2 linked regions of the Nothobranchius furzeri genome follow. The protein of the gene in region 1 purifies or fractionates together with the protein of each later gene. This does not show direct contact. Links are inferred from orthologs where the notes say so. Each region holds a gene or a part of one and is shown on either strand. Other genes may lie near its edges.

Region 1 (3,825 bases):
ATGTGTTTTACGTCTGGTTTTTGTAAAAGTTTGTAAAAATTCTGATTCTAATGAAGGTTTTCTTTCAAACTAAAGATTCATAAAACTCCTAATCTCTGCGCTTCCCTCCTGTCATGAATGATGAAACAAAATCTGTAAATTTGAGTGAACAGACACAAACAGCAGACTTGGTGCTCCCGTGCAGGAAGTTTTGTTCGGCTGATGTCGGGGTCATGTGCTCTTCATCCCTAGTAGCAGATGGCAGCACAAGGCCCGTTTGCATCTATAAAACTCAGATCCACAACACCTACAGCTCCAATTACAGGCTGGCCGAAGCACGCACAAGGTTGCAGCGGTTAGCATTAGCAAGTTAGCGTCCTGACTTTTCTGCCCAGCTAAAGGTGGAGCCAGCAGGTGATGGAGGAACAGAATGTTGTTCTCAGAGCTGCAGGCCTTAAGGGATGGAGAACAAAGACTCGCGTTCAGGATTACTTTCCTAAAAGGGAGCTGATTTATATCTTCTTATTTTGGGGACAGCAGCAGATCAGGAGGTAGAGCAAGTTGTCCAGTAATCGGAAGGTTGCAGGTTCGATCCCGGCCCCGACAAGAGAACGCTGCTGTTGTGACACTTAACCCACCTTGCCTGCTGGTGGCGCCAGTGTTCAGCAGCCTCGCCTCTGTCAGAGCGCCCCAGGGCAGCTGTGGCTACATCGTAGCTCATCCTCACCAGCGTGTGAATGACTGATTGTGTGGTGAAGCGCCTTGGGGGGGTTGTCGAACCCTAAGAAGGTGCTGTACAAATACAGACCATTTATTTTAACTTCATTCAGATGAAGAAAAATCTGGTTCTTGAAGCTTGACGGTTACTTCTGCACATCTAAGAAAAGAACAAAGCCTTTTCCTCGTTAGCTTTTGAGTTTGAATGCTAACGCTAGCTCTCCTCTTCAATGGTTTCATTCGCTCCTTAAAATCGTGAACTTTTACAGGAACTAGTTCATTTATGTAAGAAGATGCTGAGTGAACGATTGACGGCTCGCCCGCCTCCACGAGTCCACACGACCCAAACTTTCTCCGAGTGACCACCGTGTAGCGTTAGCTTTGGCTCAAGTAGCTTAGTAAGTAAAGTTTATTTATTTTGCTAAGAAGGAAAATCACATCCAAGTTAAAACATGAAAAAAGGGTAATTAAAAGCAAAAACGTCCATAAAACAAATAAAAATAAACAAAAGCGATTTCAAATAAAAGGATCTTCAGCTGCTTTTTAAAGGTGTCCAGGCTGTCGATGCGACGTAAACATGAAGTTCCTTCTAACAGTAAACCAAACCTGTCCTCCATGTTCAGGCTGAGCAGCTGATGGAGGAGTGGAACGAGGACTTGGATGGGATGGAGGGATTTGTGCTGGAGGGAAAGAAGTTCACCCGCCTGCCCGAGGAGGAGTTTGGACACTTCTTCACTCAGGACTGTTACGTTTTCCTCTGCAGGTACTCGGGTGTAACAGTGCCGGTGTCGGTACAAGATCTGCTCGGGTGCAAGATCGGCTCGGGGTCCTTCGACTGCCGATGACGTCAAAGTAGTTGATTGGCTGAACATGAACCTTACGGACGTTACGTAATCACGTTACGTTGGTCCAGGCAAAATTTTCTGTTGGAAAGATGGACAACTTTTACAAAGAAATCCATCATTAACTTTTTGAAAATACACTTTTAGCATAGAGCTGCATGTATATTAGGGCTGAACGATTAACTGCATGTGCAATTAAATTGCGATGTGACAAAAGGAGATTTTCTAATCGCAAAGGCTGCAATTTGGTAGCGAGTGGTTAGCGCAATGCTAATATCCATGGAAAAACCCATAGGAATGCTAATGCTAATATCACCGATTACATTCTTACAAATTATGAATTAGAAACGTGCCAAATGATTACAACTGGAGTCTAATAGAAAGTAAAACTACCATCAATCAAATAAGTACAGACAGGTATTTTAGTAAAGCCAGAAAACTTTTAACTCCAGAGTTTTGGCTAGCAGCTATGAGCGTAACTGAACTGCTCATGGACACGACGTCAAAAACTAAACACAAAATACTTCAATAAACGGGACACACTTCTTTCCTGCAAATACAATTTCACAGGTGTTGCTATAATACCTATGATCCTTCAAGGGATGTGCTCAAAGAGGAGTTCAACATTATGAATAAAATAGTGTTTTATTTTACAAATACCATTATAAACACAAACTTACGTCGTAAGAAACATTATTTTAATAACGAAACTGCTAAATTCTTTCCAAGAGTATAGATGTGTAGTGTATTTTGTTCGAGTGGCTTTGCCGTACTTTGACGTCATCGGCAGTCGAAGGACCCCGAGCCGATCTTGCACCGACACCGGCTGACTTTCCTCCCATTCCCAGACAACACAGTGTCTTGTGATTGGATCGTTTCAGATACTGGGTTCCTGTGGAGTACGAGGAAGATGAGGAGAAGGAGAAGAAGCAGGGCGGTGAGGGAGGAGGAAAAGGAGATGAGGAAGAGGAGGACAAACAGCCTGAGGAGGACTTCCAGTGTGTGGTGTACTTCTGGCAGGGCAGACAGGCCTCCAACATGGGCTGGCTCACCTTCACCTTCTCCCTGCAGAAGAAGTTTGAGAGTCTTTTCCCTGGAAAACTGAAGGCAGGAAGAAACTTTTACTTTTTTTTTTTTCCTGGAATTCCCCCGGTTTCGCTACATTTACTAGGATATTTCAGGGTGCCGGTGCTTGGTGTTTGTTCTGAGGTGACCTCCTGTTGTTTAGGTGGTGCGGATGACCCAGCAGCAGGAGAACCTCAAGTTCTTGTCTCATTTCAAGAGGAGGTTCATCATCCACAAGGGGAAGAGGAAACAGAACACGGACTCGGCCCAGCCCTCCCTCTACCACATCCGTACCAACGGCAGCGCCCTCTGCACCAGGTAGGCCGACCCGCACCAGCTCGGGGTTTTACCTCATCTCTGAATCCTCTCACACGTGACTCTGCCTCTGCTGTTCAGGACCATCCAGATTGGGACGGACTCCGGTAATCTCAACTCTGAGTTCTGCTTCATCCTCAAGGTTTGGAGGCTTAAAACCCAGATTACAGATGAGCCAGGCTTGCTCATTCCGACTCACACACTCGTCTCTTCAGGTACCTTTTGAGAGCACAGACAACCAGGGCATCGTGTACACGTGGGTGGGCCGGGCCGCGGATCCGGATGAGGCCAAACTGGCCGAGGACATCATGAACGCCATGTTTGACGACACGTACAGCAAGCAGGTCAGACGTCACGGCTTTAGAGCTAACACTCGACATGTTCCACTTTCTTTTTGAGATCATTGGTCTCATCTCCAGGTTGGGAGTAATGCGGTACAAAAGTAATTAATTACTGTAATGCATTGCTTTTTGCTGTAATGTGGTAATGTAAGGCATTACAGGGAAAGAAAACGGTCATATTTACTCGGTACAACTGTCAGTAACGCGGTAATTACAAGACGCATTAAATTGCGGGAAGCCCGAAAAAGATCCAGTATCTGCATATATTACGTCATTTGTGGATTTAGCCTTGCGGGCAGAGAGGACGCCGCGGTAACGGCTCAAACACTCCAGCTGCGTCCTGCACGCGGCCGCTGTAACATTCACGAAATCGCTCCACTAAAACAGAAGAATCCACTTGTGATCGTTCATATCAGCCCATGTTCTCTGGTACTTTCTGTACTTTTCTGACGTGCTTTGCCTCAGCTGAGTTCATAATCTGTGCCCTCGCCCGGTGATTTCAACTCATTGCTGCTGGAGCGCCGCACATGTGAAGATCCCTTTGGCTGATTAGTTAGAAAGCAGGA
Region 2 (3,825 bases), about 59 Mb from region 1:
ATATGAAACAGGAGCACCAAAGCGACATCTAGTATGTGGAGGGTGTAGGTGCAACAATAGAAAAGGTTTCCATCCATCGGGATGCCAGGTTTGCTGCCGATACGTGAATTTTTTTATTTGGAAACTACACACTGTCACTTTAAATAAATATATAGCTTCTTCTTAAAGAGCAAGTCACCCCCAAATAAATTATTTTTCCTGATAAACTATATAAATGCTTGTCTAATCGTGTTGTAGACACGTGTAGTCAATAGTTTTGCACTTTAGTGCATTTTAGTAAAAATTTAAATTTTCTGCCTGAAACTGTCAGTGTTGTGCCGTTGTCAGGTAAAACTCTGCACTGCATTTGAATTTAAATCTGCCACCGCTATTGGCTAAGAGGTATGCTATGATGTAAACTGGTACATTATGATGTCACAATGTCATGAGTGTGTGTATTTGTTAGTGGCTCCACCCTCTCGGTCTGCTAGGCAACAGCATTTGTTGCATTTTTCAAACATGAAGTGGGAGTGAAGTACGCTTCTTGTAAGGGGTGACTGGCTCTTTAAAGAGCAACTGACCCCCTACCAGAGTATTACTCCACTCCTACTTCCTGTTTGAAAAATGCAACAAATGCTGTTGCCTAGCAAACCGAGAGGTCGGGTTGGGCATCATTTGATTTTGAACGATTCCGATTCCTCGTTTCGATTCCGGTTCCTATCGATTCCCGATTCCAATTCTCCCGATTCTCAGAAGCCTCTGGGATGAGAGGCTAAATGTCTCCAACATATCCTGAAACGTCCAGCTGTTTTCAGCTAAAACTCTCAGGATGGTCATGTCCAGGATGACTGAGAACTACACCTCCATGCTGCAGCAGCATTCAGTCACAACAGGAAGTGAAACTTAGATGTAGCTGGCTGCGTCTGACTGCTGACGCTCCATGTGCGTTTTTATTTCTGAGACAAACTCACCTCACACAGTCTAGAGTTTGTTCATTAAATCCACCGTGTTGACGTATTTAACAAGTTTCCTCTGCAGGAGTTAAAGTTTACATTACGGAGTAAAAGTTCGGCAGACGTGTTTGTTTATATCTGGGTGGGGGGAGGGGAGACTCGGTGCTGCACACACACAGACAGCTGGTGGGATCAGCTCTGAAAAGCATTGATCACATTTTGCAGATCACGTTTATTTTTCACGGAGATCGGCCGCGGATTCCTCTTCCGGTCGGCATTCTAGGAATCGAAATAAAAAACTTTGAAGGATTCTGGGAAAAATGAACAGTTGGAACCGGTTCCAATCGATGCTCAACCCTACCGAGAGGGCGGAGCCGCTAACAAATACACACACACAGGCTCACAATGACATTGTGACATCATATGGTACCAGCTAACATTCTAGGGTACGTCTTAGCCAATAGGGATGGCAGATTTAAATTCAAATGCAGTGCAGTTTTTACCTGACAACGGCACAACACTGTTAGTTTTAGGCAGAAAATTAAAATTTTAACTAAAATGCACTGAAATGCAAAACTAGTGACTACATGTGTCTGCAGCACGATTAGACACGCATTTATATAGTTTATCAGAAAAAAAGTTGATCTGGGGGCAACTTGCTCTTTAAATAGTTTCATATTCAGCCTTTAAGTCATTTTCTCTATAAGTAACGTAAAAAGCTTCTTCCCAGCTTTAAGCTGTTTCTACTCTGACCTTTAGTTGGTTTCTTTTTTTGTGGATAGAAGCTGAAACGTTTAGGAAACACCAGTAGTTTTGTTCCTCTTTTCCCAGACTGAGTAATCTACCTTTTTTCTTCTCTTCAGAAACACGGGTTAGTCATCATCCCAGACGGCACTCCTAACGGAGACGTCAGCCATGAGCCGCTTTCCCCAGGGATCACTCTGGTCTCCCAGGAGGCCGCCCAGGTGCTAGAGTCTGCAGGAGAGGGTCCTCTAGGTGAGTGGGACCGTGCAGCTTCTCTCTGAGAATCTTCTTTTACACCTTTTTTTAGTGATGAGCAATTCAATTCAATTCAATAATAATTTATTTCATTCAAAGTTTAAATATACAAACTTCAAATCAGAATATAAGCATTCGAGTGAAATAGGGAAGGAAGAAGAAAAAATCTTACATGACCTACCCCCTTTAACTAAGACAAGAAAATAACAAAAAGTACAAAATAGCCTTGTACACAAAAAATAAACCGCCCTCTTACTTCCACAAATAATATCACTACTAAAACATTAATCCTCCATCGTCAACTCACGAAATCATACCATTTTAGCATTTTATCTTTATACATTTTTTTGAATTGATCAGTAGTTGTACATTTTTTTTTATTCATCATCCAGGTTATTCCATAATTTCACACCATATATTGGAATACACATTTGCTTTAATGTAGTACGAACAAATATCCTTTTAAACTCTGGTTTCTTTCTACTCTTTATCATTTTTTGGGATCAAAACAAAGAACCTTTGTAGATTAGTTGGCAGTAAATTATTTCTAGCCTTAAACATAATTTCCAAAATTTTCAAGTTAGCGAAGTCTTTGAATTTCATAATTTTAGATAGAATAAAATATTTGTTAGTATGTTCTCTCGGATTTGCTTTATGTAGAATTCGCAGAACTTTCTTCTGTAACAGAAACAAAGGATTAGTGTTTGTTTTATACGTATTGCCCCAAACCTCAGTACAATAAGTTAACTATGGTAAGATAAATGAATAATATAATGTCTGAAGCGTTGAAATTTCTAGAAAACCTTTGACTTTGTTTAAAATTCCAATACTTTTGGATATTTTTTGTTTTATATATTTTATATGGGATTTCCAAGTAAGTTTATGGTCCAAGAGAACCCCTAAGAATCTGACTTCATTTACTCTATCAATTAAAAAACCATCAAAAGCCAACGTAACTAAATCGTTAGTTTTTCTGTTACCAAAAACCATGAATTTTGTTTTATTCCAATTGAGAAATAATTTATTGTCATTAAACCACTTCTTAAGTTTAGACATTTCACAAACCATATTTTGAATAATAATTTCTAAATCATTTCCAGAACAAAATATTTTCGTGTCATCAGCAAACAATATGAATTGTAATACTTTGGACACATCACAAATGTCATTTATATATAGAATAAAAAGCTTAGGGCCCAACACTGACCCCTGTGGGACACCGTGTGTATTCTCTAGTGTATCTGAAATTTCATCATCTAACTGTACAAACTACTTAACCAGTCATGGGCGATTCCACGTATCCCATAATCCCTCAGCTTGGAGAGTAAAATACTATGATCTCAAGAGTCAAGAGTCATTTATTGTCATATTCTCCACATGTGCAGGACATACAGAGAAATGAAATTCAGTTTCAGCACACACAATTCAAAGATCAGACATACGTGGGTAAGACACATAACAAGAATTGGTGACTGCGGTCATTCGCAACATGAGTCGCGCTACCTTAATAGTTAGATGAAAAGGGTGTTACATGAGGAAAGTTCAGGGAGGGGAAAAAAAGGCATTAACAGGGTTACACCAGCAGGGTGTAGCACTCCAATGCAAAAAAACACCCGACATGGAAGCACAGACAGCACGTGTACACAGGGACGAAATTTTGATTTCAGAAGTGGGGGGGACACAGCAGGCTTGTGCGGATTTGGGGTGGGGGGTGTTATGTAAAGACCCCTTGACACGTCACGTGCCCATCTCAATAATTTTTCCATCCTCAATATATATATATATATATATATATCAGAGTTAAAAAATGTACAACTCTATTATTATTTTTATTCATTATCATTATTGAAGTGCAGTTTTGGCTGTTGACAATGGATAGGTCATTGTATTTATT

Evidence for each region.
Region 2: the proteins of flii (region 1) and lrrfip2 purify together in Homo sapiens (affinity purification with mass spectrometry; 3 studies listed by BioGRID and IntAct, with this or other methods). This does not show direct contact. The link is inferred for Nothobranchius furzeri from reciprocal best matches to the Homo sapiens genes FLII and LRRFIP2.

What each region holds. Positions count from the first base shown.
Region 1 is NC_091752.1:64,011,237-64,015,061, reverse strand, and holds part of flii (protein flightless-1 homolog), read left to right. Parts: intron 1-1,319; coding exon 1,320-1,459; intron 1,460-2,419; coding exon 2,420-2,645; intron 2,646-2,766; coding exon 2,767-2,921; intron 2,922-2,999; coding exon 3,000-3,060; intron 3,061-3,133; coding exon 3,134-3,262; intron 3,263-3,825. UniProt on the Homo sapiens protein: Is a regulator of actin polymerization, required for proper myofibril organization and regulation of the length of sarcomeric thin filaments. It also plays a role in the assembly of cardiomyocyte cell adhesion complexes.
Region 2 is NC_091752.1:5,419,980-5,423,804, forward strand, and holds part of lrrfip2 (leucine-rich repeat flightless-interacting protein 2), read left to right. Parts: intron 1-1,795; coding exon 1,796-1,928; intron 1,929-3,825. UniProt on the Homo sapiens protein: May function as activator of the canonical Wnt signaling pathway, in association with DVL3, upstream of CTNNB1/beta-catenin.